Callithrix jacchus: one gene and its partners. The protein of the gene in region 5 interacts with the protein of the main gene of each other region in a pairwise test. Links are inferred from orthologs where the notes say so. Each region holds a gene or a part of one and is shown on either strand. Other genes may lie near its edges.

Region 1 (3,500 bases), on a different chromosome or scaffold from region 5:
AAATGATTCTCTACCTGGCAGGGGAGGAGATCTTTTCTGAGAGAGAAAGAGTGACAGAGAGAGAGAGGAGAGAGAGTGAGGGGTCATCATGTACAAGAGTCATGGAGATGGAAATGTGCAAGGCGTCATCATCAGAATGGCAGGATGTCCACGGAGTTAGAGAGGCCAGGGTGTGCTGGAGAGATGATGTCTGGAGTTGAACCTCAAAAGAAAATTGGGGCCAGATTGTGAGGAGCTTCATACGTTATTATTTGGAGGTTGAGTTTTTCTTCTTTGGCCTCGGAAAATTAATGGATTTTTTTTTTCAAAAGGTGGACTATTGTGATGCTTTGTAAAAATGGCTCTCATGGTTTAGAAGGAACATTTTAGTATAGTCTTTAGGGTTAGGGTTTTGGAATCAAGAGGTGGGTACAAACCCTATCTCCTTCATCTGCCAGCTGTGTGATCCTGAACTGTGCTCTGATGCTCTTTGTGCCTGGGCTTGCTCATCTTCCCATTGAGATCGTGATACCCACTTTTCAGGTATGTTGCGAGGATTAAATGAGACTCACATTACTTGGCATCAAGTATTCCTGAAATCAATAGTAATAATATCTCTTTTCTGACTCTTGGACTTGAGAGTCCTTCAGGATTTTGAAACCATTTTAGTTGTAGTGACTTCTGTGGAGCCCTTTTGGAAACTACTAGAAGTTTCCTGGGACCAGCTTGCTTTTGGCACCCACAGTGGGAGGGGTCCATGACTGAGGGTAGGGTGTCATGCTTTGTTCACCTCACCGAACTTTAGTCATATAGTGACTTTATTGAAGATACTGCGGTAATGCAAAAACACTTACTTTTTAGGAGTTTTTATTTAGGAGTTAGAAATGGAGTCAATATATCTTCAAAAGCACTTTGGGACGTGTTTAACTCAAGGTCTTGCAGAAGTGGCAAAAGTTCACCCAGCGGATCCAATAGAATATTTGGCATTGTGGATTTACAAGTTTAAGGAAAATGTGACCATGGAACAACTGGTAAGTAGGAATCTCCTTCTAGGAAATTAGAAGCGAAAAATAACTGGTCCAACTTGTCTGCTTCTTAAAAAGTTTAATATTTTTATTTTTCTGTTATAAAAATAATGTTTATTATATGAAAACTCGAACAACATGAAAAGTAGGAAGGAGAAAACAGTACCCAAAGAAGCCTTCTATTTAGATTTTTAGGTAATTCCTTTCATGGGAAGTCTTTTTCTATAGATTTATAGATTTATGTTTATGTACTTGTGATAATACACAATGTGTGGCTGGGCGCGGTGGCTCACGCCTGTAATCCCAGCACTTTGGGAGGCCGAGGCGGGTGGATCACAAGGTCGAGAGATCGAGACCATCCTGGTCAACATGGTGAAACCCCGTCTCTACTAAAAATACAAAAAATTAGCTGGGCATGGTGGTGCGTGCCTGTGATCCCAGCTACTCGGGAGGCTGAGGCAGGAGAATTGCCTGAAACCAGGAGGTGGAGGTTGCAGTGAGCCAATCGCACCATTGCACTCCAGCCTGGGTAACAAGAGCGAAACTCCATCTCAAAAAAAAAAAAAAAAATACACAATGTGTAACTTTAATGTTGTGCTCATTATTCAGATAAAATATTTTCCCAAATTATTATTTAGTTTCAAAAGGGATGGGCTATAATTTGCTTAACCCTTTCCCTAATTGTCCCTATTAAGTGCTTTCAAGATTGCTTTTCTCTCTAAGAAGTCACGTGCTGTTGTTTTTAAACAATGCTAGAGACAAAAGGAAATGGCTGAGCTGGAGTGTGAAAGAGAATTAGCTCTGATGGAGCAGGAAATGATGGAGAGGCTCAAAGCAGAGGAGCTCTTATTTCAGCAGGTGAGGCAAGTAGGAGAGTTCAGAGGGGAGTGGAATTACGATGCCAACCTCAGCATGTCACAACCCAAATGCTGATAAACTTCCCAGCTCCAGTTACTTAAATATGGCTTCCTAATATCTTTATCTTTATGGATGTGTGTGTCTTCTTTGCTGGAGAAGTAGCAGCCCTGAGTTTTTCTGACTGTATTCATGTATACACACATACACATTCCTTTCCACACTGCTGTTGCTGATACAAAAGATGGCATACCTCCAGGTAAGAAGAGAATACAGAGAATGCACTGTCACAGAAGGCAAAGAGAAAGAGTGTTTTTGTGACATCTGAGTGGTCAACCATATCTATTGCTGAATGGGAAAGTGTTCATTACAGGCCACTGTAATTTGGCAGGAACAGTGTGAATGGAGTGGTTGGGGTGGGTGGAGTTAGGCAGGGGAGATGAAACATGTAGGCAATGCTTTCAAGGAGATTTTGAGAGCAAGGAGGGATGTTTTTGTGTTTGTTTTGATTTAAGAGCACAGTAGTGGAGTGAGTGGGTGACATTAGGAAATAGAGTGGATGATTCGTAGGGTCAGCTTGTCATGGAGATGAGAGGAAATGGGGCCTGGAACATAGATTAGGCAGGCAGAAGGCACTTCTTTGATTATAATTGAGGGAAAGAGGAGAGAATGGTGTTGGTGGAAGCATCTTCTATGTACAGCTGTTTCTATCTTCTTTATGAAGTAGGCACCGTGATCATCTGCTAAGAATGAGGTTGTAAGGTAGGAGGTGTGGACAGAGTGGTAAAGGTTAGAAATGGCAGCTTTGGAGAATGAGAGTTGAGGGATAAAATTTAGCAGTGGGCAGGCATGGTGGCTCATGCCTGTAATCCCAGCACTTTGGGAGGCTGAGAGGGATCACGAGGTCAGGAGTTCGAGACCAGCCTGACCAACATAGTGAAACCCATCTCTATTAAAAATACAAAATCCAAAATTAGGGTGTGGCAGCCCTCTCCTGTAGTCCCAGCTACTAGGGAAGCTGAGGCAGGAGGATTGCTTGAACTCGGGAGGTGGAGGTTGCAGTGAGCTGAGATTGCACCACTGCACTCCAGCCTGGCAACCAGACAAGACTTCAGCTCAAAAAACAAACAAAAAACCAAAAAGAAATTTGGCATTACTTGGTGGCAGTTGGAGACCAAGCACTGATAATCATGCCATTTGGTTTGATTATGTGATTATGTGATTCTTTTCATTTAGGCCCAGATGTCTGAGTGAAGAAGTGGAAGCAGGCAGACCTTTTGAGTGAAGCAGGATTGGGGTAGTGTGATTAGGGAGCTGAAGATATTGGTTAGGGAATTGCTGAAGGAACGGTTCGTGTAGTACAGGCTGGAGAGAGGAAAGTTCCAGAGTGGCTTATAGACTGATTTAATTTATAGAGAGCTTCTAAGTGAAATTTAAGCCACTTCTATAGTTCTACCAGATAATACTTAACTCCAGAGTCTTAACTCAAATTTACATATTTAAAAAGGGGAAAGAAGCCTATTGTTTGCGTATGTGGGTAAAAAGAAAAATACAGACTTGGCAAATAGCTTCTCTAACTTCCTATTCCTGATATTGAGGTAGAAAACTGCAGGCACCTTAGAAGGATAGGGCTGTTGAAAA
Region 2 (3,500 bases), on a different chromosome or scaffold from region 5:
CTGGATGTTAACTTTATGTTTTTTACTTTTTTTAAAAAAAGTACCATTCAAAACTTACAACTAGGGCTGGGCAAGGTGGCTCATGCCTGTAATCCCAGCACTTTAGGAGGCTGAGGTGGGTGGATCATTTGAGGTCAGGAGTTCAAGTTGAGCCTAGTCAACATGGTGAAACCCCATCTCTACTAAAAAATACAAAAATAGCCAGGTGGTAGTGGCATGTGCCTACAATCCCAGCTACTCAAGAGGCTGAGGCAGGAGAATTGCTTGAGCCTGGGAGGTAGAGGTTGTAGTGTGCCGAGATCACACCACTGCACTTAGTCTGGGCAATAGAGTAAGACCCTGTCTCAAAAACAAAACAAAAAAAAACCTTACAACTAATTATCAGTTCTATTAAAGGGTATTTTTCTCTTTTGAGACTTTGCCTGGCTGGATGCAGTGTCTCATACCTGTAATCCCAGCACTCTAGGAGGCTGAAGTGGGCAGATTGCTTGAGCCCAGGAGGTGGAGCCTGCAGTGAGCCATGATGGTGCTACTGCACTCCAGCCTGGGCAATAGAGAAAGACCCTGTCTCAAAAAAAAAAACTTTGAAAGACGGCCTGATTTGGGACAAGATGTGGGTGGCTTGTGACCCAGAATGGAGAGCAGATGCTAGGAAGGGTTGACAGGTAGATATGGCAGGTCTGCAAGGAAGGGCAGGGCCTGGCAACCACACCTCTATCGCTCTGTGTCTCCTTAGATTTCATGAACGTCTACTACCAGATACGCTCCAGCCAGCTGGACCGCTCCATCAAGGGCCTGAAGGAGCATTTCCATAAGAGCAGTTCTTCCTCTGGGGTTCCCTACTCCCCTGCTATCCCCAACAAGAGGAAAGACACACCTACCAAGAAGCCAGTCAAGCGGCCAGGTGAGCCCCCATCTGCCACACCCAGAGGCTGACTGGGGCCTGCACTGCTTTTGTCCAGTCTAGCATTCGCAGCATCAGATTCCTCCAGAATTTGTTGTCATGGTAACCCCGACTATAGGTACACAGGACAGAAAGCAAGTGTCTTCCCACCCAGTGAGGCCCCCCAAGAGTGAGGCTCTTCCTTCCAGCTGGCAGAGCCTGGGGGTTACACAGCTTCTTTGTAGTGGGGGGCTTACAGGTCCTCAGTTAATCCCATCTGAGACAGGCTGCAGAGGCCTCCAGGGCAGAGCCCCTGCCTGGACCCCCTCCCTCACACACACATCGTCCTGTCAGGAGGCCTGGCACACTGCTGCAGCCAGAAAGGATGCTGGGATAGCAAGGGGACAGGCGCTCTAACCTTCACCTTCCAGAAAAGCAGGGTGACCTGAAGTGACGTTTAGCTGAGAGCTGGATGGGGAGAATTTCACTTTCCCGGTCAATCCAGAAAGGAAAGAAACCCCAGAGCATCCTCTCAGAAGAACTTAAACTGGCTTTGGGCTCCAGTGTGAGTCAGGCCTTGTGGAAAGGGGCACCACGATGAGAGGCCTGGGCAGAGCTGTCGCTGTCCTGGGTGAACATCTCATCATCTCTCTGTTCTTTCTCACTGGCATCATGTCTCTTGTAGTCTGTGCTCCAGGTAAATAGCGTCTCTGTGAGCCACAGCTTGGCAAGCCTGGTCTTGCCACTGAGAGATGCTTCCTGCAGCTTGAGGAGATGCTGGGAAGTTCCAGTGGGGACTTGGTTATTCGGTGGGACTGAGATTGCTCTGGGAGAGAAAGCCAGAGATGCTGGGGCTGCTCCCACCCAGGCTGGCCCCCTGCCCAGCTGCTGCTGCAGGCACCTGCCCTAGTTGCTGTGGGACTTGCTTCTTGTGACAACAGGCTTTGGGTAGAGCTTACTTACACCCTCGGTTTCTCCGGTTCCTACCTGCCCCACCCCTCAGAGAGCACCTGCTCCCCTGCAGGCCTTTGTTTAGGGTTTGGAGAAACGGGCAGAACAGGGGCTGCTCTCAGAGGCACAAGTGAGTAGAGCATTAGGGAGCTGGGGCCTGGGGCCTTCTCCCTCCAGTGTGGATATCCTGCCCACCTAGACAAAACCTGCTGCCAACAGGGACTGCCAGTCCAGCCTTTGGGCTCAGCTGGCCGAATGGCGGCCAGGGCATTTCTGTGTCTTCTGTGTGGCGTGGGGCAGCTGTCTCCATAAGGCTGCGAGGGTGCTTGGGCCCCAGCTAGTCTGCACTGGCTTCCTCTTCTGCCTGGTTCTGTGACTGGCCCCTGGGAGGCCCCAGAGCCCTATATGCACTGCCCTAAGAGTGCCCGCTGGCCATGCAGCAGGGATCTGATCTCAGGGAGCTCACAGTGGATGACATCGATCCTTGCCCCAGAGACACAAGAGGAAACCTCTCCGGCTGTGGGGGTCTGTGGGGTTTCAAGAGTTGTCAGGAACTGGTGGGCTCAGGACTAATGTCAGGCTCTAGGGAATCAAGCCCCAGGGACTTCTAAGGAAAGGGGCAGGGGTGCCTCCCAGGTAAAGCACCAACCTCGGCATCCCTGGAGGTAATTGGGTGCCTGATGGGTTTGGTGCCTACCAGATCCACATACTGACCCACATCCTCCCCGGTGTGCATCTGCCTCTGCTCCTGGTGGGTTGTGGGACAGGATTCAGATTCACTCTTTAGTGAGCCGTGCTTGCTGAAGGGGAGAGAATGAGCAAGGCAGATGTGAGCCAGGCCATGGGACTTGGTTATTAGGAGCTAATTGTGAGCCGGGTATGGTGGCTCATGCCTGTAATCCCAATACTTTGGGAGGCTGAGGCAGGCGGATCACCTGAGGTCAGGAGTTCGAGACCAGCCTGGCCAACATGGTGAAACTCCATCTCTATTAAAAATAGAAAAAAAAAATGAGCCGGGCATGGTGGCACATGCCTGTAATTCCAGCTACTCAGGAGGCTGAGGCAGGAGAATAGTTTGAACCCGGGAGGCAGAGGTTGCAGTGAGCTGAGATCGAGCCACTGCACTCCAGCCTGGGTGACAGGACGAGACTCTGTCTCAGAAAAAGAAAAAAAAGAGTTAATTGTGGTGTGATGTGGTGTGGCGCGGTGCGGTGCAGGTGCAAGCAATGAGCCTCCACACACTGCCCCTTCCTCCCTCAGCTTTCTGAGGAGCTGCCAGGACGCAGCATCCTCACTGTGCTCAGATAGGCAATGGGGGGGCGGGGGCGTCTTGGGTGCCTTTCTTCTCCCATACATTTTGTTAACAAGGCAGCTGCACTGGTCTGTTTGAGACGGGAGTTGATTTCTCCACGTCTTTGGCCCTGAGATGTCTCATTCCCACAGAGGAGGCTGACCCAGGCAGCTGTGGGCACTGCCGTTTTTGTTCTGATTGTTTTCACGTGTGATATTAACTTTTGTTTTTTTCCCCCATGCCAAGAGCATGTACCTTCTCCTTCCAAGTGCACCCTCCAGGCTCTCTGTGTGGTGGCTTCTGTTAACCCTTCTTGGCTTTCGGATTTTTTCCTGTGTCTTTGGTGGTTTGGGGAACTCTGGTGTGTGGGCTAGG
Region 3 (3,949 bases), on a different chromosome or scaffold from region 5:
ACTCTTTGTACAGCCAGAAACCCTTCAAATGATTAACTTTAACAAATGGGAGAAGCTCAGTGCTCCTCGACCCTGGCTACGCATTATATCACTTGGGGTCACTTAAAAAAATTCAGCCCAGGTGCAGTGGCTCATGCCTGGTCCTAGTGCTTTGGGAGGCTGAGGCCAGAGGATCTCCTGAGCCTAAGAGTTTGAGGCTGCAATGAGCAAGACTCTGTCTCTTAAAAAAAATTAGTTCCGCCAGGCGTGATGGCTCACGCCTAGAATCTCAGCGCTTTGGGAGACTGAGGCAGGTGGATCACGAGGTCAAGAGATCGAGACCATCCTGGTCTCGATCCAGGGTTTCACATGGTAAAACCCTGTCTCTACTAAAAATACAAAAATGAGCCGGGCATGGTGGCATTAGCCTGTAGTTCCAGCTACTCAGGAGGCTGAGGCAGGAGAATTTCTTGAACCCAGGAGGCGGAGGTTGCTGGGAGCTGAGATCGCGCCATTGCACTCCAGCCTGGGTAACAGGCTGGAAAAAAAAGATTAGTTCATCTAGATGAATTTTGGGTGCAGGTATATTTTCTCAAAAGCATACCAGGTGACAGGTATGTGAGAACAGCTTGAATTACCCTTGAGCCAGTTTAGAATGTTTTGTCAACATAGAATTTGTTGACATTTTCAGGTGTTTGACAACACTACATAAATAAACAAGCCTTTGATAAACTAACAAAACCTGTAGGACACTCTTCCTCGGACACTCTAGCCTCTGGATTGCCTTCTTGGGGTAATTCTTGGGATCTTTTGGGGTGCCATCAAGCCTCCTGCCTCGTGAGCTTTGCATGGTATGGCAGAATGATAGCTAATCACCCCTGTAATCCCAGCACCTGGAAAATATGACAGAAGTCTCGCTAGCTATCCAAGCCAGTCCAAATTTCAGCTTGACACCTAAGGACAGTTTTATTGAAGAATACAACTGCTGTTCCCGAGATAAATCTTAGAAAGCTTTGTCTTGAAAGGTTTTTCATGCAATTTGTCACAGGCTCTCATAATCCACAGGATGATACAGAGAGTAAAGATCAACACCACCATTAGCGCTGCCTCTCTTCCCCGCCCTCCGAATCCCACTCAGAGGTGTTCGAGCTGGTTTTCTGTGCCAGCTTCATTCCACATTTGGCCAAGACCGAGGACTCAGGCTTCAGCCTCTGGGGGTAAGGATTTCCACATTGTTATTTGCCATGCAAAATAGCAGTTCCTATTCATTTCTTCCAAATCTGCCTCTGTCAACACAGATGGCGCGCTACCCCGTACTGCTGGGACTGTGAGATTCGGCAACATTGTCTGTGTCCTGACTGTGCGGACCTTTGGCAGCCAAGCTATCACCATCCCCTGAAGGATGGATTTTGGTTTTTGTTTGCCTCCTGTGAAGGACCTTCTTTCTGCTAATCATTTGAATTACTCTCTCCTGGACCCCTTCCAGTCCTATCACGCCATCTGTAAATGGCAGAGAACAGAACGAGACACACATTATGGTGTCAATGTATAATAATTTGATACAAAGATGCGATTATGATGTTTTGTTTTGAGTATTGCTATCTGCACGTTCTTGGTTTTTTTGGTGGGATGGGGGTGGAGGTGGGAGAAGGAAGCTAGAAGCCAGAGCAGGCTGGACAGTGGATTTTATTTACAACTTTAAGGAATGGTTTTCAGGTTCATTAAATTGTTTTCCTTCAGCTGTTATTACCTTCCTCCTGCTCACACTGACACTCGGAGGGCAGGTGTCTGCCCTCCCACGCAGCTCGCTCACATCCTTCTGTAGCCTCCTCCCTGCCACTCTCAGCTCACTCACTACCTGGCACATGACCTTGGCGATTCCACCACGCATCTCTTCCCCAGATCATTTATCACTATGGTAATTAAGACTTGGATGTTCAGACTGTGGAATGAAAATAGAACAGGTTCTAGCACAGATTTTAAAAAATATTTTTCTTCCTGCCTCCAAAAAAGTACATGTTCATTTAAGACAGTTTGAAAATACAAACAAATGCAAAGAAAATTAAAATAATTCTTAATCCTATTACCCAGAGATAACTTCTTCAAATATTTTGGTTTATATTCATCCAGTCTTATTCAAGGAACACAGTAAACACACACTTTTTCCCTTTATCTTTGATAAATATTATATTTGATATATTCAAAGAATATATGTAACATTACACTCCCCCCACAAGAATCAAAACATTATAAACAATGGCAGTAATTGTCATTTACCTAAGTGCACCCCTTAGTCTCCCACTTCCTCTCATGGGGTGGGAGTATCATTCCCTTGCCTTATTTTTTTTCCCCTTGCCTTATTAAAGTAATTTTAGAAATTGTTTGTGTTTATTTGATTTTCAGCTTTGTAAAAATGGTAACATGCTATGAGTCATATGTTTCCTGCTTTTTTCACGAAGAAAAATGTTGGTTCAATTTATCCATGCTGTGTTATGCAAATGTTCTTTTATTTTTGCTGCTGTTTAATATTTCCACTGTGGAGATATACACATTTATACATTCATTTTTCTCTTGCTGGCCATTTGGATTGTTTTCATAAGTCTCAAGAACAGGCTGGGAGTGGTGGCTCATGCCTGTAATCCCAGCACTTTGGGAGGCTAAGGCAGGCAGATTGCCTGAGCTCATGAGTTCGAGACCAGCCTGGGCAACATGGTGAAACCCTGTCTCTATGACATACAAAAATTAGTTGGGCGTGCTCATGCACGCTTGTGATCCCAGCTACCCTGGATGCTGAGGCATGAGAATTGCTTGAACCTGGGAGGCAGAGGTTGCAGTGAGCCAAGATTATGCCACTTCACTCCAGCCTGGGTGACAGAGCGAGACTCTGCCTCCAAAAAAAAAAAGTACTAAGGACAGTGCAGTGATTGCACATTCCCCTTGGTGCATGCATGAAGAGTATCTTTGGGGTTGAATAGCTGGATATAAGGTAGGTAGAATTTCAACCTGTTAAATATTGGCAAAATGGTTGTACCAATTTATACTCTCACCATTACTGTATAGGAGTTTCCAATTGATTAGCCTTTTTTCCAACATTTGGAATTGTGAAACTTTAAAACTTGCCATGCTAGTAGGTGTACAACGTTGTAGTATTAATTTGCATTTTCCTGAATGCGAATGAAATGGAGGATCTTTTTCTATGTTTATTGACCATGTGTTTTCTCTTCCATAGAATGCTTGCTCCTTTTTCTATTGTGTTGTCTCCCACATTTTTTTTACTTTGAGTCAGAGTCTTGCTCTGTTGCCCAGGCTGGAGTGCCATGATGGATCTCAGCTCACCGCAACCTCCGCCTTTGGGTTTCAAGCAATTCTCCTACCTCAGCCTCCCAAGTAGCTGGGACTACAGGCATGCACCACCACGCCCAGCTAATTCTTAGCTTTTTTTTTGTATTTTTAGTAGAAACAGGGTTTTACCATGTTGGCCAGGCTGCTGTGGAACTCCTGACCTCAGGTGATTCAACTGACTCAGCCTCCCAAATTGCTGGGATTACAGGCATGAGCCACGATGCCTGGTCTCTCAAACATATTTTAAACAAAATTTGAGCCATACTACATATACCATTTTATATCATCTAAAACGTTCTTTTACAGTGTTATTTTAGTGATTTGGGACTCTTCTATCTCATAATTTAATCAGAGCTCTGTAAGTATTTTTTTAAATTTTGGTTTTGAGAAATAACTCTGGTAAGATATTCTATTGCATACATTTAATTACACATAACTGAATGTTTTAATAAAATAAGTTCTAAGAATTGAGATTTCTGAGCCTGGGAAACATGGTGAAACCCTGTCTCTACAAAAAAATACAAAAATTAGCTGGGCATAGAGGCATGTACCTGTAGTCTCAGCTGCTCGGGAGGCTCAGGTGGGAAGATTACCTGAGCCTGGGGAGGTCCAGGTTGCAGTGAGATAT
Region 4 (2,994 bases), on a different chromosome or scaffold from region 5:
GAAGCATCAGAGCTGAGGCATGGAGAACGGGAGCGAATCTTCCACAAGCAAGAGTTCAATAAGGAGCTGAAGTCGTTACTGAGCCAGCTGGAGTCCCTCGACCTGCCTGGCTACTGTCCACTCCGTGAGCCCCACCGCACGCTGAACTTCCTGGCTGAGCACCGCCTCTTCCCCGCCCTGCAGAGCGTGGTCAGTCGGGCTACGGACAAGCTCCGTGGTGCCTGCTGCTGTGACGGCCACCCTCTGTTCCCCACCAGCTTGGAGCCCACCTCAGAGCTGCCCGGACAGGGCAATCTGCAGCCTCCAGGCTCTGAGCCGGCCAATCCCAGCAACACGGGACAGCCCCATGCTTCCCCCCATCCCACAGCCTCCAGCCCCAAGCTGCGTCACAGAAAACACAAGGACAGAGGAGGCTATCCCTCCATGTCTAGCGCCCAGGTGGCCACCAGATTCAAGCTCAAGATGACACCCATGGAGAAGCCCAGTGTCCCCAGTTCCTCACTCCACTCCAGGAAAGAGGTGCCTGACTCAGATCCCAAATTACAAAACCCACCTGTTTCCCTGAGCTCCAGCCGGAGGGCCAAGCCCTGGCAGGGCCTGCACCTCACTCTGCCTGCCCCCGGAATTGTGGTGGAGGTGGATTGCAGCCAGGGCCACCTCAGGGGCCCTGTCACACCTCCGCTTGCCTTCCCCATCCCCACTCTTCCTGCTCCTTTCCCCCCAAGCTCTCCTCAGTTGCCTCCTCATCTCCCGCCTCAGTGTCTGGAGGTGACCTCCTCGAAAGTAGGACCAGGCATGAGTTTGCAGAAGGGTTCCCTGGCCCACCACTCCTAGCAGCCACTGTCACTGGCACTGGCAGGTATTCAAGATCTCTTGCCCGGCACTGTGGAAATCTCCCGGGCAGGGACCAAGCTGATGGGAGCCCAGGAATCCTGGCCTAGCTGCTACCAGGTGTTATCACAGATGAATAAAGGCCATTTTTTATGCTGGGTATTTTTCTAATGTTTGTTTATGAATCTCAGAGACCCTCCTACTTGGAGGTGAAGGGCCCTGTCTCTTCTGGACAGCTGCCCTAGCCGGGCCAGGGCCTTGCCTCCGAGGTCTAGCTCCCTCGAATCCAGCTGCCTTGAGCAGGACTCTCCAGTCGCTGTAGTTTGCCGAGGGGAAGTTGCCCACGGAGGATGTGTACAAGACGTGGGTGGCCTCACCCTGGTGGGTCTCTAGCATAGTCCCTCAACTCTTTCCTAAGCCATCAAGGCCCCTGCAGGCTTCTCTCTGAGCACAGGCCTGGGCGGGAGCCTGCTGGAACCCGGTTGTCAAGGCTCAGATTAGGCTCACCCTGTGACAGGTCCCTGCCCTTGCCCCAGGCCCAACAGGTGTAGGAGGTGTGATAGTGAGGTGAGCAGAGTGGGCAGCTGAGTGCGACGGCATAGCAGATGTGGCAAGGCTGTACCCTTCGTGTAACAAGTTTGTTTGTCACACCAAGTATGCCCAATCATGTTTGTGATGGGTAGGGTTGGCAGGGCTCAGAGGAGGGCACGTGGTTGGGAGGGATGTCACTGGATGGCAGGAGGGATGGGGCCCCCAGGTGTGACATGTGTCCTTTTCCCTCCCCGGCTGCTATGCAGAGCCCCAGCAGCAGCAGGTTCACAAAGAAGAAGCTACTGCCCTCCATCTCGTCAAAGTCCAGCATGTCCCACTTCTCCAACTGCTCTTACGAGGAGCTCGTTGACTTCCTCACCCAGCAGGCAGCCTCCCTGATCATCCGAAAGTATGAGTTTGAAAAGGACCTCAATAAGCAGCTGGGCTTCTTCTCCTTCCCCGTCACCCAAGTGCTCAGGGACCTTTCCCTGGGCTTAAAGAAGGTGAAAGGCTCCCATAACCACCAGTCCTCGGAGATCCATCTGAGCTGCCTGCTGCGTAAGCTGGAGGAGGCCAAAAGGGCCCAGCAGGACTTCTTGCTCAGCACCTTCCACCGCAGCCCAGAGACGCCCTCTGTGCTGCAGGAGCTGGCCACCCACACCGTCCAGGACCAGACCACAGAGCCCTGCCACTCTCTTTACACCGACTTGCCAGCCAGCCAACAGCTCAGCCCATTGGAGCCCAGGCTCTCAGTGTCTGCCCACACCGGCATGGGTTCCAGTCCCCCCAGGTCCAAGGACATGGACAGTGAGGGCCATGATAAGGTCGAGCTTGAAGATGAAAATGAGGATGAGGATGAGGAGCAGGATGAGGACAGGGATGAGAGTGGAGTCCAGAGCCTCCCAGAGCCTGGAGAGGAGGCCTCGGTCAGCCACCCTGTGGACCTGGGCCACAGTGACCCATCTTGAGGTCCCCACTGGCCACTTGATTCCTTGCTCTGTCAGAGTTGCTGCTCATCACACCAGCCCCTGGGCTGAATGCCCACAAGGAGCTCTGCTGAGACTCTCAGGGGAGCCAGTGAAAGATATAGCAATATAGCCTGTGTTGCTGAGACACAGGTTTCTTGTCCTGAGATTTCAGCCTCCATTTCATTTATTTGTTTGTTTACCTATTTTTTTTTTTTTTTTTGAGACGGAGTTTCGCTGTTGTTACCCAGGCTGGAGTACAACGGTGAGATCTCCGCTCACCGCAACCTCTGCCTCCTGGGTTCAAGCAATTCTCCTGCCTCAGCCTCCTGAGTAGCTGGGACTATAGGCACGCGCCACCATGCCCAGCTAATTTTTGTATTTTTAGTAGAGATGGGGTTTCACCTTGTTGACCAGGATGGTCTCGATCTCTTGACCTTGTGATCCACCCACCTCGGCCTCCCAAAGTGCTGGGATTATAGGCATGAGCCACTGTGCCCGGCTTGTTTACCTATTTTTAAGAGGAAGTGTTGGCCAGGCTCATGCCTGTAATCCCAACACTTTGAGAGGCTGATGTGGGCAGATCACTCGAGGCCAGGAGTTGGAGACCAGCCTGGGCAATATGATGAAACCCCGTCTCTACTAAATACAAAAATTAGCCAGGTAT
Region 5 (3,500 bases):
AGTCTGGAGCTGCAACAGGAGGGAGGGAAAGGGTGGAAATTGAGGCCTGACTACCTTAGAGGGCCTGTGACTTTCCCTCTTCACCACCTGTGGGACAGGAACATTGAGAAGCTCAAATGCTTTAACCGTCTGCTATCAGCTGTGCTCCAGGGATACAAGGGCCGTTGTGAGGGCCTCAGCATGCAGCTGGGTCAGCGGGAGGCTGAGGCCACAGCATTGCATCTGGCCTTGCAGTACAGGTCAGTGCACCCTGCCAGTGATGTCACCAGCTGGGGAGGGAATGGGCTTTCTGAGGATGGTCCCAATCCACAGAGGGCAACAGGACCCTCACTGGAAAGCACCTTCCACTACTTCAGAAATTAATTTTGTTTTTGTCTGAGACAGAGTCTTGCTCTGTCACCCAGGCTGGAGTGCAGTGGCAAGATCTCAGCTCACTCCAACCTTTGCCTGCTGGGTTCAAATGATTCTCATGTCTCAGCCTCCTGAGTAGCTGGGATTACAGGCGAGCACCATCATGCCTGCTAATTTTTGTGTTTTTAGTAGAGATGGGGTTTCACCATGTTGACCAGGCTGGTCTCGAACTCCTGACCTCATGATCCACCCACCTCGGCCTCCCAAAGTGCTGGGATGACTGGTGTGAGCCACCACGACAAGCCCAGAAATTAATTTAAGGCAATTTTAGTTCAGGGGTGCTAAAGGAGTCTGCATGCTTCCAGAGGTGAGGGCAGTGGGGAGAAGAGAGAGATTCAAGAGCAAGTGGGGACTGGCACCTATAGGCTGAGATGGAGCTGAGTGTTCTTTTTTTTTTTTTTTTGAGATGGAGTCTTGCTCTGTCACCCAGGCTGGAGTGCAGTGGTGCGATCTTGGCTCGCTCCAGCCTCTGCCTCCGGGTTCAAGTGATTCTAGTGCCTCAGCCTCCTGAGGAGCTGGAACTACAAGTGTGCACCCCCGTACCTGGCTAATCTTTGTATTTTTAGTAGAGACAGGCTTTCACCATGTTGGCCAGGCTGGTCTTGAACTCCTGACTTCAGGTGATCCTCCCGCTCTGGCCTCCCAAAGTGCTGGGACTACAGGCGAGGGCCACTGCACCCAGCCGAGCTGAGTGTCCAAAAGTACTCAGAACCAGTGTCCTACAGTGAGCATTGTGAGGAGGCATACAGGGTCCTGCTTGCTCTGCGGGAGGCCGACTCAGGAGCAGGAGCCGAAGCCCCCATGGGTGACCTGCAGGCAGCTGAAAAGGAAGCATGGAGGCTGCTGGCACAAGAGGAGACCACCGTGGACGCAGGGGCACTGCAGAATCCACAGCCAAGGTACCCCCGGGGAACCCTGGGAACTAGGCTGGTTGATGAGTGGGATCTTGACGGGGGTATGGGGCTCCCACAGTCCACCACGTTTGGGGTCTTGGGGTGGCTGAGTCCAGCAAGGTCCGTATGGAACTCCCTGTGGTTGGCTGACAGGACACCCAGCTGCAGTTGGCCTGTTGCTACTTGGCAAGGTTGGCATGGTGGTTGACAGACATTGCAGTTGGCGTGAAGATGGATGATGATGCCTACTGGTTAGATCTGGGCAGAGTGGCTCATGCCCGTAATCCCAGCACTTCGGGAGGCCAAGGCAGGCAGATCCCTTGAGCTCAGGAGTTCAAGACCAGCCCTTGTAACATGGAGAAAGCTCTTCTCTACCAAAAGTACAAATAAATTAGCTGGGTGTGGTGGTGTGCCCGTGTAATCCCAGCTACTTGGGAGGCTGAGGTGGGAGGATGGCTTGAGTCTGGGAGGTGGAGGCTACAGTGAGCTGAGATTGCGCCACTGCAGTCCAACCTGGGAGACAGGGTGACACCCTATCTTTTTTTTATTTTTTTGAGACAGAGTCTCACTTTGTCACCAGGCGCCAGGCTGGAGTGCAGTGGAACAATCTCACTGCAACCTCCGCCTCCCGGGTTCAAGCAATTCTCCTGCCTCAGCCTCCCGAGTAGCTGGGACTACAGGCACATGCCACCACGCCCAGCTAATTTTCGTATTTTTAGTAGAGACGGGGTTTCACCATGTTGGCCAGGATGGTCTCGATCTCTTGACCTTGTGATCCACCCGCCTCAGCCTCCCAAAGTGCTGGGATTACAGGCTTGAGCTACTGTGCTCGGCCTCTTTTTTTTTTTTTTTTAAGATAGAGTTTCACTCTTGTTGCCCAGACTGGAGTGCAGTGGTGCGATCTCAGCTCACTGCAACCTCTGCCTCCTGTTCAAGCGATTCTCCTGCCTCAGCCTCCTGAGTAGCTGGGACTACAGGCGCCTGCCACCATGCTCGGCTAATTTTATATTTTTAGTAGAGACAGGGTTTCTCCATGTTGGTCAGGCCAGTCTTGAACTCCCAACCTCAGATGATCCACCCGCCTCAGCCTCCCAAAGTGCTGTGATTACAGGTGTGAGCCACCGCGCCCAGTGAGACCCTGTCTTGAAAAAATAAAGAAAGAACTGGCATGATGGTGCTTAGTAGGGTTGTCCTGGTCCTGCTGCGCAGGGTTGACAATCTAGGTGCTGGTGCCCATTGGGTTGGCGTGATGGTGTCCAGCAAGGTGGCATGAGCAGCGGTGTCTAGCGGGTTGTTGTAATGGAACCCACCATGTTTTCTTTCTTTCTTTCTTTTTCTTGTTTTTGAGACCGAGTTTTGTTCTTGTCACCCAGGCTGGAGTGCAGTGACACGATCTCGGCTGACTGCAACCTCCACCCCTCAGGTTCAAGTGATTCTTCTGCCTCAACCTCCCAAGTAGCTGGGATTGCAGGCGCCTGCCACCACGCCTGCCTGATTTTTGGATTTTTAGTAGAGACAGTGTTTCGCCATGTTGTCCAGGCTGGTCTCGAACTCCTGACCTCAGGTGATCCACCCGCCTCGGCCTCCCAAAGCGCTGAGATTACAGGCGTGAGCCACCGTGCCCGGCTCACCACGTTCTTTTTTGTTTGCTTGTTTCTTTTTTGAGACGGAGTTTCGCTCTTGTTACCCAGGCTGGAGTGCAATGGTGCGGTCTCGGCTCACCGCAACCTCCGCCTCCTGGGTTCAGGCAATTCTCCTGCCTCAGCCTCCTGAGTAGCTGGGATTACAGGCACGTGCCACCATGCCCAGCTAATTTTTGTATTTTTAATAGAGACGGGGTTTCACCTTGTTGGCCAGAATGGTCTCGATCTCTTAACCTTGTGATCCACCTGCCTCGGCCTCCCAAAGTGCTTATAGGCATGAGCCGCCGCGCCCGGCCTGCTTGTTTCTTTTTAACATTTTGTTGGAGACAGGGTCTTGCTCTGTCACCCAGGCTGCAATACAGTGGTGCCATCATAGCTCACTGCAGCCTCAAACTCCTGGTCTCATTCAGTCTCCTGCTTTCCGCCCCTCAAGTAGCTGAGACTGCAGGTATGTAACACCATGTCCAGCTATTTTTTTATTTTTATTAACACACATCCTCACTGAAGACCAGCTAATTTTTTATCAAGATGGATTCTCACTCTGTTGCGTAGG
Region 6 (3,500 bases), on a different chromosome or scaffold from region 5:
CAGTGAGCAGAGATCCAGGAGGTAGCTGATCCCAGCTGGGTCCGTCCCTCCCTAACCAAGAACACCTCTCATCCTCTCCTACAGCCCCTGCTCCCAGAGTCCCTGGCCCTGAGCCTGCTGCCAGGCACAGAATACCAGAAGCAGCTCCTGGCAGCACAGGTGAAGCTTCAGAGCAGCACCGCAGAGCTCCAGGCTGCGCTGCTGCAGAGCCAAGCCCGGCTGGCAGAGCTGGAGGCCCAGGTGAGTGGCAGCGGGGTTGCTGGCATTGGGGGCAAAGTTGTGACGGGAGGGGTCACCGAGAGACTGAGAGTATCGGGAAGCATCCCCAGGAGGAAGGAGGGGCTGTTGGCACAGGGCAGCGTAGAGCACAGCCACCTCCCCTCCCTAATCGCTGGCCCTCCTGCCGTCTCCCAGGTGCGGAAGCTGGAGCTGGAACGGGCCCAGCGTGAGCTGCTGCTGGGGAGTCTGCAGCAGCAAAACCAGGCAGACCTGGAGCTCATCGAGAATGCACACAGGTACCCCAGCACCAGCCCCAGCTCTGCCTTGACTCTCTCGCTGACCTCAAAGGCCACCCCAGTGTGCTTGGAGAGGCCTTTAGGTGGCAGCCCTCTACCTTCCTCATGCCATGGCTGGGTGTACTGTTGGCAGAAGCCACATCAAGGTGCTAGAAATATCGTACCAGCAGCGGGAGGAGCGTCTCCGGAGAGAGAACGAGGAGCTGTCAGCTCGGTATCTGTCGCACTGCCAGGAGGCCGAGCAGGCCCGTGCTGAGCTCACCGCCCAGTACCAGCGGCGCTTGGCAGCTGCAGCACAGGAGAAGGACCAGGAAATGGAGCGGCTCCGGGAGCTGCAGCGGTGAGGCCCAGGGACAGGCAGTTGGGGATGGGCTTGCAAGGACTGGCCAGAAGGCAGCCATCCTCACGAGACCCTCTGCTGTGGCTCAGCAGCCCTTGGACAGGGATTTGAGCCCTTCCCTCCCAGCCCAATGAGTGAGGACTGAGGGCTGGGCAGACTGACCCATTACACACATGGGTGGAGTGCCACCTGCTCTTACAGAGGCAGGATGCGGTATCCACAGGCTGTCCACGCACCGCATGGCAGCAGCAAGCCCCCCAGGGCCTAACTAAGCACAGGGTAATCCACTCACCAGCTCACGCAGTAGAGGCTAGAGATGAGGTCTGCCTGGGAAAGGCTTGCACTGTTGTGCCTGCCATGTTGATAGGGTTGCCTTTATAGAAGAGAAGGAAGCTAAGAAGTTATCTAAGGGAGTCAGAGGTCTCACTCTGTCACCCAGACTGGAGCACAGTAGCACGATCTCGGCTCACTGCAAACTATGCCTCCTGGGTTAAAGCAATTCTCCTGCCTCAGCCCCCAAAGTAGCTGGGACTACAGGCGCCCACCACCATGCCTGGCTAATTTTTGTATTTTTAGGTGAGATGGGGTTTCACCATGTTGGCCAGGCTGGTCTTGAACTCCTGAGCTCATGATCTGCCCACCTCAGCCTCCCAAAGTACTGGGTTTACAGGCATGAGCTGCCACCATGCCTGACTCAGAGCTCAGGGCCAGGCACAGTGGCTCACACCTGTAATAATCAGCACTTTGGGAGGCCAAGATGGGAGGATCACTTGAGGCCAGGAGTTTGAGACCAGCCTGGGCAACACAACGAGACCTTGTATCTAAAAACAGTTTTTAAATTAGCTGGGCATGATCGTGACTTGGGAGGTTGAGGTGGAAGATACCTTGGGCCCAAGACGTCAGGCTGCAGTGAGCTTTGATTATGCCGCTGCACTCCAGCTGGGACCACAGAACAAAACCCTGTCTCTAAAAGAATTAAAAAAAAAAAAAAAAAAAAAAAACTACTTTGGGAGGCGAAGGCAGGAGGATTGCTTGAGGCTAGGAGTTCAAGACCAGCCTGGGCAATATAGCGAGATCTCATGTCTACAAAAAGGAAAAAAGAAAAGAAAGAAAGACAGCTCAGGTTGGCCAGACTCAAAAGAAGTGCACACATGGCTCTATGTAAAGTGCTCTTTGCTGAATAACTGGAGTAATCTCCATCTTAGTGCATGTAGCATTGAGGCACCATGACAGATAAGACAGAGGAGCTGGGGAAACTGAGGCAGTGCCCAGAGGAAGAGAGGCCTGGGAGCAAGGGCTGCTTCGAAGCATGCCCTTCCACAAGGAGCTGCTGTGTCTGGGTGGTCCTGCTCAGATTGGCTGTGGGCCTTCCCCTTCCACTTCCCCACAGGGCATCCATCCTGGAGATGCGCAGAGACCACGAGGAGCAGCTGCAGCGGCTGAAGCTGCTGAAAGACCGAGAGGTCGATGCGGCCACCAGCACCACCTCCCACACATGGTATGTGTGCTGCCCCAACTGTGCCCGCCTAAGGGTGGGGGCTGGGGGGTCCCGAGGCTTTCAGGAGGTGGTGACCCAGCCTCCTTTCAGGTCCCTGAATAGCATCATCCACCAGATGGAGAAGTTCTCCAGCAGCCTGCAGGAGCTGTCCTACCGCATGGAGGCCTCACATCTCACCAACTCCCAGGAGCGGGAGCTGGGGATCCGGCAGCGGGACGAGCAGCTGCGGGGTACGCCCTCCCTCTCAGACCCCCAGACCCCTGGTGGGAAGAGGAGCAGTTGCCAGCACCCTGTGGGTTGTCCCCAGCACTGCAGGAGCGGCTGGGCCAGCAGCAGCGGGACATGGAGGAGGAGCGGAGCTGGCAGCAGGAGGTCATCGGGAAGATGGAGGCGCGGCTGAGTGAGCAGAGCCAGCTGCTGGAGCAGGTGAGGCCCATCCTCCTGGCCCTCCTGCCATGGGGCCTCTCCTCCAGGGCACCCGCAGGTGTGGCGACACTCTCCTGACCTCACCTCCTCAGAGGTCAGCGCCGGGGCTTGACTCTCCTGTGGGCATCCTCCCTGCTACTTCCTGCCTCTGCGTCTCCCTGTCCCGGCCAGGCCCTCAGCATTGCCCACCTGAGCACACAGGCGCCACCTGGCCAGGCCCCCACTACGCTCTGCCTGCTCCTCACCACCGCAAGTCCCTCAGCCACCCTGGCCTTGCTCCACAGTCTAAACCCTGCAACCATCAGCTGCACTCAGAGCTGTCCCCTTACCCAAGCCCTGTGACATTCGGACAGATGCTCTTGCCTGTTAAATGTTATCCTAGCCTCTTCAGCTCTAACAGACATTTGAACTCCCTAAATACCTTTCATATATAAGCACACACTTTAATTAAATAATAATAACCTCATCCAGGCATGGTGGCCTGTGCCTGTAATCGCAGCTACTTGGGGAGCTGAGGCAGGAGGATCACTTAAGTCCAAGAATTTGAGACCAGCTTAAGCAACATAGTGAGAGCCCATCTCTTTTTTTTTTTTTTTTGAGAGAAGGAAAGAAAAGAAAAAAAAATAAGTAAAGGAGAGGAAGAGAAAGAGGGAGAGTAAATGGAAATATTGCTTTATTTTGAAAAAAATTGGGTATTAATAATGGCCAATCAATGTTTCAT
Region 7 (3,500 bases), on a different chromosome or scaffold from region 5:
AGAGGACATCTTTGATGAATTATTTAAGCTGGCTCCGGAGAAAGTGAATGCAGTGAAAGAGGTAGGAGAGATCAAACCTCTCAGCAGCTCTCAGGCCGCCCACCCCACCCACTGCCCACCTGCGCTGTAGGAGGGAATCACGGGTCCTTGTGCCACACCTGCGGCATGCTAGGCCCTTGTTCTTCCTTGGTTAGGCCATCGTGAACTTTGTCAACCAGAAGCTGGACCGCCTGGGCCTGTCTGTGCAGAATCTGGACACCCAGGTAGGGACTCAGTGGTGGCATCTCCAGGCAGGGCAGGGCCACTGACCCTAGGAAGGAAAGGGTCTGTGCACCCCAGGAACCCGCTGTGTGGTGGTGGGGGTTGCATCGCCTCTTGGAGCCTCAGGTTCCCCCTCCTCAGTGTGACTGCTGCTGGCAGGCAGCACTGGCCACCAGGGACACAGCAGGATCCCGGGGGCGGGGGCGTGGGAACACTTCACCAAGCTGGAGTCACCTCGGCTGTCACTGCTTCTCATTGTTATAATTTTATTTCATAATTAATCTTAGCCTAGCCCATGCCCAGACTTGAAGCACATGAGTCTTCCCTGCGTGGTTGTGTTCGCCCAAACAGAATTTATTAGGTTTGTGCCATGTGCCAGGCGTAGGTGACAACGCAGCCCCACTGTCTGCAGGCTCTGCATCTCTCATGAGCACCCTGAGGAGCCCAGCCCTCCCCTGGCTGCCTTAGGCTGAATCGTCCCAGGAGCAGGAGCAGGAGCAGGAGCAGAATACTGGGGGTCAGCACTGACCGTGGGCTGTGGCTTTCCACAATGGCACTGTGCCTGCAATGCAAGGGATGGGGGCAGACGAGCAGAGTGGCTAACTGCCAGCCTGGCACCTGCAGAGTGGGCATGGAGTCTGCTGGATGCCAGTGGCCTCAATGGGACATGACGTAGGCATCTAGCCACCTGGCTTCTGCTAGGTGCTGGGGCCTGGGGCGGGGAGGGAGTCTGGTCCCAGATGGACCAACTGGCTCATGAAAAAAGTAGCCAGAGCTGCTGACCTTTCAGAGAGGCTCTGGATGGGCATCGGCTGGGGAGGAATGGGGCGATGTACTCCCACTCCCAGTAGCTAAAAGCAATAAAGCCCTTACTAGATGCCAGTCCCCCAGCAAAATGCTTCCTATATTAACTCATTGAATTCTTCCCCAAATCCCCTGAAGTGGGAACTGTATTACCTCACTTACAAAGGAGGATGTTAAGGCACAGAGGGGATAATTAACTTGTCTAAGATCACACAGTGATATGTAGTGGATCTGGGATTTGAACCCAGGCAGCTGGGGCCAGAGTTTGTGCTTATAACCACCTCACATGTGGCCACGTAAGAAGTTTATGTGTTATATGGTATGGCAGCATGGCAGGGTGGAAATACCAGGCTTTGAAGCCAGACAGACACACATTTCCCTCCTGCCTCCACCAGTGATGGTCCCTGGGCTCTGCTGACACCCCTCCACGTTTGCTGTGTGACCTTGGGTGAGTTACTGGTCTTCTCTGAACCTCAGGCTCCTCTTATAAAGTGGGTACAAGATGACAACCTCATAGAATTATAGGTGGTACATGAGCCAGTGAGCCTCATATGTTTGGTCTATTACTTGGCACGCTGCCAGCATGAAATAAATGAGAGATTTGCAGTTTTATATTTTATGTGGGTATAAACAGGATGATTTCTGAGATTTACATATTACCTATTCCATCTTTATCTCTCCCTTGGTAAAATAACGGCTTTGGATACTCATGGCATGTGCCAAGTTGGTATTTAGAGACTGTTCAATAAAGCAGGGGAAGGAAGTCCCTTGCATTCCCGTTGTATTACCGAGGAATAATGGCAGAAAAGATTTCAGGCCCAAACTAATAACATTGAAACAGTAATAGGAGGAAATTCCATTAAGGGCTTTGAATGGCGGTTTCTTCCAATATCCCATCCTGTGTTTTGTATCTTTGAAGAGACTCAATAGGATTATATTAGCATATGATATGCTGGTGGTAGGGACGACAGCTTTATCTCAGAACAGACAGAAATATTAATATGGCAACTGGCAAGATGGGCCCCGTGTGCCGCTCTCTGCCTTTCCCTGATGGAATAATTTTACGCATAACTCTGTTTTCCCATGTTTCTGTAGCTTGTGGAACAGCGTGGTGTTTAAAAACTGGTATGAGGCTATTCTATAGCAAGTTTAGGAAACACTCTTTTTACTGAGCAAACACTATGTACCAGGCAGCCTGAAATCGCATTTTACTTGCAACCCTGTGAGGCCAGGAAAGTCTTCCCCACTTCTCACCAAGGAACCAGAGGCTCAGAGAAGTTGTGTGATTTCCTTAGGACCACACAGCCTGTAAAAGACAGAGTGGACCTCCCCAGGCTTCTTCCATGTGATGGTCTCCCGTTCCTTCCTTTGTAGTTTGCAGATGGGGTCATCTTACTCTTGTTGATTGGACAACTTGAAGGCTTCTTCCTGCACTTAAAGGAATTCTACCTCACACCCAACTCTCCTGCAGAAATGGTAAGTTCTCCAAAGATTCTTGATTGTCTACCTCTGGGTGAACAGATAAACAGAAATGACATGACACGTGTGTTTATTCAGTTCCAGGTGAAGTGAAGGTGTAGGGGAAGCTTGTTTAGCTATGTCTACCTGTCCATCCATCCATCCACCCATTCACCTATGCATCCATCCATCATCTACTATCTATTCATTCCCATCTGCCCATCTACCTATTATCACTTCTGTTCACCTACCAAGCTACACCCGCCATCTATGCACCCATCCATCTACCTGCCCCCCCGTTCATCCACCTACCTGCCTGTCCATGCACCTGTTTTCCTGTGTGTTTATTCATCTACCTAGTCCATCCATCTATCCATCCATCCATCCATCCATCCATCCATCCATCCATCCATCCACCCATTCACCTATCCATCCACCAACATACCTATCCATCCACCCACTCATCCATCCATCCATCCACCTATATACCTATCCATCCATCCACCCACCCATCCATCTACCCATCCACCTATCCATTTATCTATCCATCCAGCCACCCACCCACCCACCTGTCCATCTACCTGCCTGCCTGTCTACCCACACATAGGAAGTTTGTTTATGTATATGTCTTTCTGGCCATCCATCCATTCATCCATCCACTTGCCTACCTGTCCATTCACCTGCTTCCCCATTCATGCATCCATATGGCTGTGCTCCAGTCCATCTTCCCATTCTGTTGATTTATGCACCCAATCCATCCATACACCTGCCTGCCCATCTACCCACCTGCTTATCTACCCATCTCCTACCCACACATCTGTTCCCTCATTCCCTGAAGGCCTGCTTAGTGCCAGCCCCAAGCTGCACGGGACATTAAGATGATTCAACGCAGCTCCTCATTTCAGGGACCTCTTCATCTATGCTCACTGTTCTCCCAGTGACGTGTGCTCTTGCAGGACCACAGTGAAATGTGTTGG

Evidence for each region.
Region 1: the proteins of USHBP1 (region 5) and DYDC1 interact in binary tests that used the Homo sapiens proteins (3 or more experiments, as listed by UniProt). The two-hybrid records come from large-scale screens. The link is inferred for Callithrix jacchus from reciprocal best matches to the Homo sapiens genes USHBP1 and DYDC1.
Region 2: the proteins of USHBP1 (region 5) and EXOC7 interact in binary tests that used the Homo sapiens proteins (3 or more experiments, as listed by UniProt). The two-hybrid records come from large-scale screens. The link is inferred for Callithrix jacchus from reciprocal best matches to the Homo sapiens genes USHBP1 and EXOC7.
Region 3: the proteins of USHBP1 (region 5) and DTNB interact in binary tests that used the Homo sapiens proteins (3 or more experiments, as listed by UniProt). The two-hybrid records come from large-scale screens. The link is inferred for Callithrix jacchus from reciprocal best matches to the Homo sapiens genes USHBP1 and DTNB.
Region 4: the proteins of USHBP1 (region 5) and CCDC116 interact in binary tests that used the Homo sapiens proteins (3 or more experiments, as listed by UniProt). The two-hybrid records come from large-scale screens. The link is inferred for Callithrix jacchus from reciprocal best matches to the Homo sapiens genes USHBP1 and CCDC116.
Region 6: the proteins of USHBP1 (region 5) and FBF1 interact in binary tests that used the Homo sapiens proteins (3 or more experiments, as listed by UniProt). The two-hybrid records come from large-scale screens. The link is inferred for Callithrix jacchus from reciprocal best matches to the Homo sapiens genes USHBP1 and FBF1.
Region 7: the proteins of USHBP1 (region 5) and PARVG interact in binary tests that used the Homo sapiens proteins (3 or more experiments, as listed by UniProt). The two-hybrid records come from large-scale screens. The link is inferred for Callithrix jacchus from reciprocal best matches to the Homo sapiens genes USHBP1 and PARVG.

Annotation. Positions count from the first base shown.
Region 1 is NC_133513.1:50,199,197-50,202,696, forward strand, and holds part of DYDC1 (DPY30 domain-containing protein 1), read left to right. Parts: intron 1-437; exon of another isoform or gene 438-522; intron 523-840; 5' UTR 841-863; coding exon 864-1,010; intron 1,011-1,760; coding exon 1,761-1,862; intron 1,863-3,500. UniProt on the Homo sapiens protein: Functions as part of axonemal radial spoke complexes that play an important part in the motility of sperm and cilia. Plays a crucial role during acrosome biogenesis.
Region 2 is NC_133506.1:131,998,421-132,001,920, reverse strand, and holds part of EXOC7 (exocyst complex component 7), read left to right. Parts: intron 1-736; coding exon 737-904; intron 905-3,500. UniProt on the Homo sapiens protein: Component of the exocyst complex involved in the docking of exocytic vesicles with fusion sites on the plasma membrane.
Region 3 is NC_133515.1:89,527,609-89,531,557, forward strand, and holds the start of DTNB (dystrobrevin beta), read left to right. Parts: upstream 1-1,149; 5' UTR 1,150-1,196; intron 1,197-3,949.
Region 4 is NC_133502.1:193,600,867-193,603,860, forward strand, and holds the end of CCDC116 (coiled-coil domain-containing protein 116), read left to right. Parts: coding exon 1-519; intron 520-1,628; coding exon 1,629-2,330; 3' UTR 2,331-2,494; downstream 2,495-2,994.
Region 5 is NC_133523.1:15,857,803-15,861,302, reverse strand, and holds part of USHBP1 (harmonin-binding protein USHBP1), read left to right. Parts: intron 1-98; coding exon 99-239; intron 240-1,136; coding exon 1,137-1,310; intron 1,311-3,500.
Region 6 is NC_133506.1:131,811,507-131,815,006, reverse strand, and holds part of FBF1 (fas-binding factor 1), read left to right. Parts: intron 1-84; coding exon 85-240; intron 241-414; coding exon 415-515; intron 516-648; coding exon 649-855; intron 856-2,245; coding exon 2,246-2,353; intron 2,354-2,443; coding exon 2,444-2,583; intron 2,584-2,660; coding exon 2,661-2,779; intron 2,780-3,500. UniProt on the Homo sapiens protein: Keratin-binding protein required for epithelial cell polarization. Involved in apical junction complex (AJC) assembly via its interaction with PARD3. Required for ciliogenesis.
Region 7 is NC_133502.1:187,594,974-187,598,473, reverse strand, and holds part of PARVG (gamma-parvin), read left to right. Parts: intron 1-2; coding exon 3-61; intron 62-194; coding exon 195-263; intron 264-2,439; coding exon 2,440-2,541; intron 2,542-3,500. UniProt on the Homo sapiens protein: Plays a role with ILK in promoting the cell adhesion and spreading of leukocytes.